Tribolium castaneum: one gene and its partners. The protein of the gene in region 1 binds, or shares a complex with, the protein of each later gene. Links are inferred from orthologs where the notes say so. Each region holds a gene or a part of one and is shown on either strand. Other genes may lie near its edges.

Region 1 (3,656 bases):
TATTTTCATGATATAAGTTTAGATGGGATGTTATTAAAGAATCTTTTCAAAATTTAATAATAGTATGTTTTTCTTTAATTTTTATGTAGAAGTGTATTTTAAATTCCTTTTTTCCAAAAATTCTAACTACATTTTACATTTTCAAGCATCCCAACTGGAACCACCAAGAGTGGTAATAACCCCACCGTTTGTGGATGTCCAAGAAGGTCAGACGGTTCAAATCCAGTGCGCAGCCACTGGTACACCTGAACCAATCTTACGCTTGATAAGACTCGACGGTCAACAACTAAATCCAGCAGTAAGTTTATAAATAAACCGCACTGACACAATCTAACAACCTAACAAAATAGCACTACTTCCAAAACGGCCTCTTCCGTATACCTCAAGCACACAAATCTGACGAAGGACCTTATCAGTGCATCGCTACAAATGCAGCCGGTACTCACACATCGAACGTAGACATATACGTGCGAGAAAACACCGGTGGTCGACCAGTAACTGTGGAAATATCACCCCCGTATTACGAAGGCTCAAGTGGAGAAACTTTCTCGCTGAGATGCCAAGCCGATAGAGCAATTGATATCAAATGGACGAGACAAAACGGTCGCCCCTTACCTTACAGCTTTATAGTGAATCGAGACGTTTTAACAGCCACTTCTCCAAGAGCTGAAGATTCGGGAGTTTATGTTTGCACGGCCACTTCGGCCACCGGATACACCGCCACCGGCACCGCCGACGTTACGATCTACGAATCGTCTGGGTACGATAAATAATAATATTTTTTTCAAAAATAAATTGTGTCGTTCAGCACGTCTCCACCAAGCGCCAAAGTCAGCCCCGAACGTATCACAATCTCGCAAGGTTCCTCCACGGAGCTCCGCTGCGACGCCACCGGCTCCCCAACTCCAACCATCAAATGGACAAGAGTTGGTTCCGAGCTTCCGCCACATATCACGCAATCCGGTTCGGTTCTCTACATTCGAAACGCCCAAGTTTCAGATAGAGGGGTTTACGTTTGTGTTTCCTCTAACAACCTCGGTCTCGCGCAAGCTTCCTCTATCGTTGAAGTGAACCGTCTCGAAATCCCGATCCTGTCAGTCCACCCACAAGCCTCGCAAACGGTCACAGCCGGCAATAGTGCAATTCTGGCGTGTCGTGTCGATGCGGGCATTCCCGCTCCCACCGTAGTCTGGACGAGGGCAGACGGTCGGCCTTTAAGCCCCAACATCGAAACAATGTCTCACGGTACTTTACGATTCACACAAATAACTGAAAACGAAGGCGGTGAGTATATCTGTACTGCTGAGAACGAAGCTGGGAGAGCGTCAGTGACCGCAAACATCGAAGTTCAAGTTGCTCCAGAGGTTTGGACGGTGCCGGACGAAGATGTGATTATGAGGAGACGAGATGAGTTTGTAAGACTTGAGTGTCATGCTAGGGGAAGTCCCCCACCGTCATTGCAGTGGAGGAGGTTATCAGAACCATAGTAAGGATCATGTTTGGTTTGTGCTACTTTGGCTAATTGTGATGTGATGTTGCAGCGGAGCTTCCGGACGTTCCGGGCTTCCAGCGGTGGCTGCGCCAAGAAATGTAGCGATACTTGAAATTGCGAGGTTTTCCGCAAGGGACCAAGACTTGTACATATGCGAAGCACGGAACCAAGCAGGAGTTGCAGAAAAGCGAGTGCAACTCGCGATTCATAGCGTTCCTAGTCGCGGTGATATTGTGGGTGAGTTTTCACAATTTAAGAAATCAAACAAGTATTGTAACTTCACGAATAACAGTGGACCAAGAAAAAGTAGTTTAGAATAATCCATTCACTTTACGTCCCATACGATAAAAAGTAGAATTCACAAGAAATATTGTGTAGCACATCATTTCTTTTCTTTGTTTCTTAGTCATTAACTACCGAAAAGTAATTTTTTACATGTTTTCTCCAAACTTTTCTGGACCTCGTTTAAAAATCGAATAGGAAATAAACAAAATAATTTCCAGAGTTTTGGGTCTTCTTTGCATATTTCGATCAACATTCCGACTTTTTATCGTACGGTTTAGAGTAACAGAGTAGAGTAATCGCGGTGTTGGTATTACTTGCGCTCAAATTTGTACTAGTTTTATTGCAATATTGTAGAATAATTATTTTCATGCTTTTGTTTTTGTTTCATCTTGCTTGCTACTAACGGGGGGCCGTAGGTAACCGATCACGTGGAGGTAAGTAAATAATAATCAATTAACACGACGGGAAATTTAAGTTATTTTTTAATCAACTCGTAATTTTAATTTTATGTTGACTAGGCGAAGATGCAACGGGTAACGAAGTTACTCCGCCTGAAGGGGGTTACAGAACCAACGAACGGCGCCCGACGTATTTACCACCTAGACAACGTCCATCCCACTCTTACGATGAAAAATTCACGGCTCCTGTGGGAACTAGGGCAGAGTTGCGATGTCAAATCAACAACAATTATGGTAAAAGTGTGGCATGTGCGCAAAAACTGTGCGCTAATAATTTTGATTTCCAGATTCTGAACCAATTTATGTAAACTGGGCTCGAACGGATAATTCTTCGTTACCGAACGATGCATTTATCAGAAGTGGGACTCTTTACATCGACAATGTCCAGCCCTCCGCCGGCGGTGAATACCGCTGCTTGGGAACAACTTCCTCAGGGCAAGTGGTCTTCTCGGTTATCGCCCATCTGGAAGTTATCTGTAAGTCGGTCATCATGCTTTCGTAATTGTTTGGCTTCTTACAAGACTTTATTTTCTCTTATCTATCGGTAGTTTGTGTAATTATTGTTTCTTTGTTACATTCAGCCGAGGAAGACATATGTGCAATTCTAGGTACTGTGTTTTCACCGGTGTTTTATCCGCTTTCATAGAGAAAGTCTTAGTGGAGCAGAAACAATGTTTAATATCTAGCACAAAAACTTTGAAACAACCAGCTATATTACAACGTGCTGGTAACGCTAAGAAATGAATTGCGCACTTGGCTGCAAAGATGTCTTAAGCAGTGACAAAATAATAATTTGATATAGTACTACAAAGCTTTATTTTTTATTTATTTGTACCGGACATTTACTGAAATATTTGGATGAAGAAAACAATTCACTAATGTCGACAAATCATGTTCCTATTTAGTTCGTAAAAATAACCACATTTGTTCGAATAGAGTTTATTTTTATTAGATTCACTTACAATTTAAAGTAAGCATTCATATTAAATGATGAATGAGTCCAAAAATTCAAAGTGATTGGTTTCTTACTTAATTTTAATGGCCGACCTTAAATGGACCAATCATATCCAAAAATATAATTTTTCAATGAATCAAAGAAAATCTAAAGTGATTGGTTTCTAAGTTAATTTTAATGGCCGACATTAAATGGACCAATCATGTCCAAAAATATAATTTTCAATGAAACAAAAATTCAAAACGTGATTGGTTTTCGCTGTAATTTTAATGGCCGACCTCAAACGGCCCAATCAGAATGCTTACAAATTTTACAACAATCATTACGTGGCTTACGTTAATTCATAAAATGATGAGTCTGTCTTTGTTTTTGTTGCATCTCACATCTCCAGTTTTTCCTTTGAATTCTGCCCCCCTTGTAATGGTGGACGATCTGCTAGATAAAAAAACACCAAAATTGAGACCTG
Region 2 (4,195 bases), on another chromosome or scaffold:
CACTTATTTTTAGGAAATATCGTGAAAAATCACACCAGAGTGCTTCGATTATGATTTTCTCGTCTTTTCAATAACTGTACCTATCCCGTAGTTATTTTCTAAAAATAAGTAACTTTGTGTATTATAGGTCTGAAGCAGTTTTCACACTGTTTGCTTTGAGCTGTGAGAAGCTACGTATCTTTTGTTGTATTTACACTGATATCTCGTTAACTTGTGTTATTGTAAATATTACGAAAATGACGAATTGTTAGTACAAAATTGTTGCGAAACTACTGCCAATTATTTATGTGATGATGTGTTGCTTCGAGGGCGGGCGGTCCGAGGGATATTTTTGTACCTAATGATTTTTTCCCTATCATTTTAAATACAACAGAAGATTTTTGTGTATATGTTATTTTTTGTTTATTGTTACAAAGTGATACGTTTATTATTTACTTGTTTTTTTATTTATAGACAATGTATTTCTTGATCGCGCGTCAAGAACTATTTTGTATAACTCGTGAAGGACATGAACTAATTACACTTTTTACACCTTCATGATTCTGTCAGTGAGATCATATTTTTGCAATTTTTTATTTCAAGACGAACGAGCGTAGTCTAGTAGGCGGGTTTAGTAATTTTCGTTTAGAGTGACCTGCGACGTTTGACAGGCAGTACCGCCAACTGTGTTTCAAGGTTCATGGCCACTCTGATCATTTTATTAGTTGTTTTGTTCCAAAGAAGCACATATGAACAATTGTTTTTCACTAACCAATTAGATTTTGTGGAAGTGTATGTGTAGTTTTGCAAACATATCGAGCAGTTTTTTGGCTGTTAAACAGTCTGGTGTGTATGTGAGGCAGTTGGTAGACTTGGAAATTTTATAGAAAGTATTAATGTTAAGCTTGTAGCTCTCTATGCACCTTTTTTTTCAAATTCGTTTAACTGGTGCAAATTAGCTAGATTATTTGTCTGATTTGTTATTTATTACATTGGTCTCGCTAACAGGACTTGTACATAATATATTTACTTCCAAAAATGTGTATAACAAAGTTTATTAAACTATGTGCTTTAACCCGTGTTTGGAACTCCCGCCGGCGTGTTGCCAACCTTTGGTAACTTCCCATTCCTTTTATGGTAAATTTTTAATTAATTTGGGGGCCCAATCTAACTAATTGTTACCTAACGGAGCGGGGGACAGTTTTTAGGACGTTACGTTTGATTTAAAATCCTTTAAAACAATTAAAAAATCAACTTTTTTATCCGTTTGGGGAATTTCAAGCGGCACGGTTGGCAACACGTCCAAATATGGCCGTCTGTTGTGTAAAAAAGTGTTTAGTTTTCCTCACCTAATTACCAAAAAAATCCTTATCTTATCAAAGTAATGCGGTAAATAGCTTCCGGATAAGCGACTGAACGCACTCATTATAAATAAAAACCAATTCTCGCGTTTTAAACACCACCCAAGTGAACGCCCATTTGCTGGTACAAGTGCCCCACTTTTGGGCAAATTGCCGAAATGGAGGATATTTTCCAGTGGTGCAGGGACGGGAATGCCCTCCAGGTGCGGGTTTGGCTCGATGACACCGAGCACGACATGAACCAGGGGTGAGTTGTGTCTTTGAGGTTAGTTTAATGGCATTGCCTAATTTGGTCAGTGGTGTGGCCGTGTTGTGTAATAATTGGGTGTGTGTGGGTTTGTTTGGTTTTTACTGATTGGTGATTGTCTTAGGGATGACCATGGGTTCAGTCCGCTGCACTGGGCGGCGAAAAGGGGGCACACGAAGATTGTGGAGATGCTCTTGCTCAGGGGGGCGAGGGTCAATGCCACCAATCGGGGGGACGATACGCCCTTGCATCTGGCGGCTGCACATGGGCACAGGGAGATTGTGCTTATGGTTGGTATTTTATTAATTTATTAATATAAGAGTAATAATAAGTCTGAAGACTTACAAGGTTGTCACTTTATCGTTTGACTTTTTACTAAAAAGAGTTGGAAAAAATTATCATCGTCACGGTTAGGAAAATTAAAAATTATTCCTCAACCATTTTTAGGAATTTTTTTTTATGTGCTTTTATAGAATGTGGGTTTTAACCTACTTTTTTTCAAGCGAATACACTATAAAAGTACAACAAATTGAGACGTAATCCGAGTACACGTTTCTCATTAGAAAGCAGTATTTTTTTATGTATCTAACAACTCAGAATGAGAAGGAAACCAAGGAAAAAGTGAAAAAATTATTGGCAAAAAATAAGAACAATCATTTGCTGAAGTTGAGCTTGCAAAAAATAAACAAAATACTTTAATTTTTTTGTTGTTTCTTCTAAATTAAACTATTATTAGCTCGCAATTTATTTAATAGTTATCTTATGTTAACAATAAACTGGTTAAAAAAATTTGTATTTTTTTTACTGAAAGTACTTAAACCTTCAAATAACATGCAAAATAAAATAACAGAAACCTTCTATTCCTATTAAATAAACAAGTCATCAATTTTTTGATTTATGTGTGATTATTTTTTAATCAATTGTACCTACCAAAAAAATAAAGAAATAAAAAGATAAATTAGTAAGTTGTGTAAAGTTATTTTGCAATTACTGATTTTTAGTTTTAAGTAGCGTTGTTTGTTTTATAGTAATGTTTAATGTGTTATTGAAGGTCCTAATAATTTTTCTCAATGATACTAAATTAGAATTTACAGTTGTCGCTCAATAAAAAATGCCTTTTACTACCTCTCCATATAAATACAATCTTTGATACTGAATTCATAAAACAATAATAAAAATAATAAATAAATTAAAATATGTAATTACTGATAAGTACATCGTTTTACAACTCATTAATTATTTAATAATAATAATAATAATATTATTATTTAATAATAAATGGTATCGATTTTATAGATGTTAACTTGTTTTCTTGAAAAACTTGTAGCAGAAAAATCATTTAAATTCGGATTGTAGAAATTTTGGGATTTTTAGAAAATTATAAAAAACAAAAACACTACGTGGAAGTGACAATAAATGTTTTTTACGAAAGTGTTTTTGGCTCTAAAATAAATCATTTTATTATTATCCGAAAACTTTTGATTAAAAATTATGAAGCTTCGTCTCTCTTAATTTTAAATGAGTTATTCTAGATATGTACTTACTTATGATCATAATCAACAAAAGTGATGAAAAAATTTTTCGATTATAATAAATTAAATGTTGAAATCAGCTGTTCCAGTTCTATTTTTTTATTTTTAATAAAATAATTTAATTACATTTTTCTGAACTTCTCATAATTCGTCATTTTAAAAATGTTTATTATGTTGATCGATTTTGTCAACTTTTTGAATAAAACGCCAATTGTCCATTTAATAAATCTAGTCTGATAATGGACAAATGTTGGGAGCTATTTATTTTTATTTGTTTTTTTTTATTTTAATTTTAATTATCTGAAAATTCTCGTGTAGATTGAAATACTCAGCACTTTTCCTAAAATACTGTTAACAAGATATAAACAAGGTCGGAAAAAATAGTCGACTACCGACTCAGGCACAATAATATCTTAAAAAAAAATTGGAAAATTAATTTTATGTAATACTTGAAACCTAGCATTTTTTGTTTAAAAGCCAATGTGTAGTGGTAATCCTCTTAAAAAAACAGCAATTTACGATGAAATCAACATTAGTTTTTTTACAAAGAATGTTTTAAAGAAACAATTTGCATCTATTGTTTAAATTGTTTATTTCATTCTATGCACCATAATATACAGAAAATAGTGTACTTTAATCAGGAATTCCACTCCAAATCATAAACATTTAGCTATTTGTATATCTATTACTAGTCAAGTCAAGCTATATTTCAAAACTACTATTTTTTTTGTTTTCCCATGACTTTGTTTAACTTGGAATCAAATTTATTTTCGTCATGGACATACTTTAAAAAAAATATGTTTATAAACATACTTGAAATTTTCTTAAATTGTATTTGACAATTTTTTTTACTAGTTCGGTCTATTTCTTTCGTACTGCGAGTGACGTTTTTTGTTTTTATCTTTTGGAGCGCATTTTTTTCACTAAACAATGAACAAATTTTTTTACATTAGGAGTGAAATAAATGGTAATTTAAAGGATTTTAAAAGAAAAAAAAATGAATATAAATATTTTCATTGTTATTTTTTTATTATTAAATAATAAATAAATAAAAAAAATTATTTATTTTTTTATTA
Region 3 (3,656 bases), on another chromosome or scaffold:
AAAAACGGTGTCAATTTCTTTTTTTTAATGGGGTCTTGTATAATTTTTTGCATCATTTAATAGAAGATTTACTTTTAATTTGTAACACGTGTCACAATATAATAAATTAATAATAAATACTAGTAGAAAAAAATAAAAAAATATTTAGATTATTTTAGGTAAAAAAGAGCTACATGATAAAAAAAACAATTATTAAAAACTTTTATTTACAAATTTAAGCAATGAAATAGTTTTCATAGGTAGTTAAGTTTTTTTTTGAAATTAACTACTATTTAGATTACGCAATTCTTAATGAATAATTGTTATTGTAACGTTACTTTGAAATATGGGGTGTGATACATATTGCAATTAGAAGTTAATTATAATTACACATCAAATGGTACACAAAAAATACAGGGTACCATCTAAAAAAAAGTTCACAGTCATTTTTGACATATGTCATCCTAAACCGAAATTGATTTTGAATGAAATTCAAAAACAATTTCCCAAACCATAATTTGTCCTAGTTTTAGACGTATGTCAAAAAAAGGTTTAAACAGAGTTTTTTCAAATGGAATGACTGTTTTTTTCATTGGGGATCTAAAGACCATCAATTTTTTCTAGTTTTTGAAATAATCGCGAAAAATGGATTTCAGTTCATTATTTTCATTTCAATCGAGTAAATTTTCGAAAAATTTGTGCTACTAATTAATGGAAATGTTCAATTTGTCCACCATTTTCATTAATAATAATAATAATATTTTCCGGCTTATTTGATAATGAAGCAGATAAAAACTAAACAAGATGTTAAAGTTTGACAATTGTTGACCATTACGCAAGGCGTACTTGATTAATGATGAAAATTACGAAGTACAGCTAGTTTGTTTCTTGTGATTTTTTCAAAAACTGTGAACGACGTATTGATAAAAGCTTCCATAAATGTCGATGTTCTTTCTATGGCTATTTGAAATTTTTCATCTTAAAAAAATCATACTAGCATTGAAATTTGACATTTGACAATTTTAAAAATTCCAGAAACGTTCAAAAGCTGTAATGTTTTGTATAAACTCCTGCAAAAATTTTTTTTACAATAAATTGATATATCGTATCAAAAACTACGGCCACTTTGGGTTGTATAAAAAATTTCACAGCTGTAGTAGTTGTTTCAAAACTTTAAAAACGCCAACGTCGCATTTTCTCTCAAAATTAGTTGTTATAAATTATTCATGCACTTCAAAAAAAATAACAGCTAATTTAATTTGTACTTTCAATGAGAGATCTTAATCATTAATAACTATTTTACAATTTCATAAATCTCAGTTAAAAAAATTATTTGGTAAAATGCGATATTGGCGTTTTTATACTTTTGAAACAGCTAATAGCTACATTAGAAGTTAAAAAGTTTCTATTATCTGTTAACTATAGGAACAACTATCATTTTTCACAATTGGTTTTCTCTTTTAATTTGTGATCTATTTGATCCGAAAAAATTTAAGTGCGCTGTTGTCATTTTTGTTAAAATAATTTTTTAATGTAATTTTTGCCAAGGAACAATTTCTGAAATATTTTAGGAGGAAAAAAATAAAAACCGTTTCAGTTTACGAAGGTGCAATAAAACAGATTCGCTTTCAAATGGTGTATGTGTATATTTTTGTTGAGATAATTTTATCTCTGTGTTTATTTACTTCTTTTTTTTTTGGTTTCAGACAGGATCGTGGGGTCGTCAGGTGTACAATTCGGAGACTAACGGTTATTCCCCCAATTTGACGACAAGTATCAGTTCGGAGCAATTGAATGGCAGTTACGACAGTTTTCTTGCCCAAACTCCACCTCCGCCGAGTCCTGAGGCTCGGAAACATATGATTAGGCCGAAATCGCTTGTAGAAAAAGCGAGAATGAATGTGGCGTGAGTTTATTCTCGTTACGTTGCTATAGAAGCCAAACTGTCTTTTTTAGTTGGTTAGATTCGTCTTTGTCAATTATGGAACAAGGAGTCAGAGAATACGATACGTTATGTTTGAGGTTTAAATTTTACGTGTTTTATGACCTAAACCCCAAATACGATGCGATTCGAATCAATCAGATTTATGAACAAGCGAGGTGGCAATTGTTAAATGAAGAGATTGATTGTACGGAAGAAGAAATGTTAATGTTTGCCGCCTTACAGGTGAGAAACATTGCACAGCAGTTGAATTTTTTATTTAACAAGCACAACAATAGAAATCAATACTTTAGATAAAAATTTCGTCCTTGTGGTTTTCTTTGGCGAAGCAATCTTTTGCCGGTATCTGAAAACCTTATAAACATATTCTGTCTTTTAATTTATTTTGTCCGTTGTTTCACCCCATAAAAAACATATTACGTGAGTGTTTTAATCAATTACTAAATTTTGTGTAGGTAAATGATTATATCTCACGACATTATTATTGTAATTTAGTGCGTTATGTGGTAATATTTTTTTTAGTTGCAAGTTAATTTACAAGCTAAACAACCCCAACCTCATTTGGATAATGGCAATGTGTCTTCCCCTGTTGAAGACGACATCGACGCGGCCTTAACCGACCTTCAAACAACTCTCGAGGGATCAACAATAAATTCCTACGCCAACGACATCACACAAGTGCCTGAATTATGCGACGAATTACGGTTTTTAAAGTGAGTATAAAAAACAGCTCAATTGGAAGAGATGAGTCCATGTTCAGAAACATTTAATTTAAACTTTAATCCTTTCTTATCGACTAAACTTCAAGTTTTTATGATTTTGAAAATGCCAATTTATGTGAAGATATTGTTCAGCCTATTTTTTTACGAATTTTTTGAAAGTAATTATGTTCTGGGGCAAGTAAAGTGCTAAAACGTTTGAAAAAGGAAAAATACTTTCGTTTCGTAATTAATTTAGATTTAACAGAAACAGGTTCAGGAGTTGGAAAAAGTCATTTTTAGTTAACTTAGATATTCCGTCATTCGGCTTACTTACGCGAAAACGAAGTTTTTAGCAAGATAGAAGTGTTTAAGCTCTCGAAAAAAATTGATAATTTTTTGGCTTATTTTTGACCATATGCCTCAAAATAATTACGTTTCTAGCCAAGTAGTTTACTAAAATATTTAAAAAATGAAAAATAATGTCTTCTGTTAACTAATTAAGAAATTTATCATTCCGTTTTAACAGAATCTCACAAAACAATAATTTTTTACAATGGCCTACATTGGTGATTAATGCTTATTTAGTTTGGAATATTTTAGACAAAATGCATTGCGTTTCTTAGCCAAATAATATGTCTAAAGTGTTCAAACATGGAGTAATAATTAATAATTTTTATTTTGTTTATGGATTTTTCAATATGGTTTATGAAAAACTTGCGAAAAAAACCTTAAGTTATTACGCTAAACACATTGGTAATTTTTCGGCGTATTTATTTTGTCAAAATTCCATAAACTATTGCATTTCTGGTAATAAAATTTCGCGAAGAAAACAAAACTTTGGTCCTAAAAACATGTTTAAATGCTTGAAAAAGTCTAATATAAAACCAATGTTCACCGAAATTGAGATTTTTCCCATTCTAAAACTAAGTTTATCTCAACAAATGCTAAAATGACACCGTTTTAGAACCAAATTGGTGAATTTTTGATTTATTTTTGACGAATTTCCCCGAAACAACTGGCGTTTCAGGCCAAAT

Evidence for each region.
Region 2: basement membrane-specific heparan sulfate proteoglycan core protein (region 1) and Ilk share a complex: the UniProt entries of both Caenorhabditis elegans proteins name them as parts of the integrin containing attachment complex. The link is inferred for Tribolium castaneum from reciprocal best matches to the Caenorhabditis elegans genes unc-52 and pat-4.
Region 3: basement membrane-specific heparan sulfate proteoglycan core protein (region 1) and unc-112-related protein share a complex: the UniProt entries of both Caenorhabditis elegans proteins name them as parts of the integrin containing attachment complex. The link is inferred for Tribolium castaneum from reciprocal best matches to the Caenorhabditis elegans genes unc-52 and unc-112.

The regions. Positions count from the first base shown.
Region 1 is NC_087398.1:9,110,901-9,114,556, reverse strand, and holds part of basement membrane-specific heparan sulfate proteoglycan core protein, read left to right. Parts: intron 1-146; coding exon 147-298; intron 299-350; coding exon 351-760; intron 761-808; coding exon 809-1,486; intron 1,487-1,541; coding exon 1,542-1,729; intron 1,730-2,193; coding exon 2,194-2,211; intron 2,212-2,295; coding exon 2,296-2,469; intron 2,470-2,522; coding exon 2,523-2,711; intron 2,712-3,656. UniProt on the Caenorhabditis elegans protein: Component of an integrin containing attachment complex, which is required for muscle development and maintenance. Probable structural role in myofilament assembly and/or attachment of the myofilament lattice to the cell membrane.
Region 2 is NC_087394.1:5,466,188-5,470,382, forward strand, and holds the start of Ilk (integrin-linked protein kinase), read left to right. Parts: upstream 1-1,245; 5' UTR 1,246-1,498; coding exon 1,499-1,587; coding exon of another isoform or gene 1,588-1,591; exon of another isoform or gene 1,592-1,605; intron 1,606-1,711; coding exon 1,712-1,877; intron 1,878-4,195. UniProt on the Caenorhabditis elegans protein: Probable pseudokinase that acts as an adapter protein. Component of an integrin containing attachment complex, which is required for muscle development and maintenance.
Region 3 is NC_087396.1:10,393,658-10,397,313, forward strand, and holds part of unc-112-related protein, read left to right. Parts: intron 1-1,685; coding exon 1,686-1,885; intron 1,886-1,935; coding exon 1,936-2,146; intron 2,147-2,443; coding exon 2,444-2,634; intron 2,635-3,656. UniProt on the Caenorhabditis elegans protein: Component of an integrin containing attachment complex, which is required for muscle development and maintenance. Probable regulator of cell-extracellular matrix adhesion. Required during initial muscle assembly to form dense bodies and M-lines.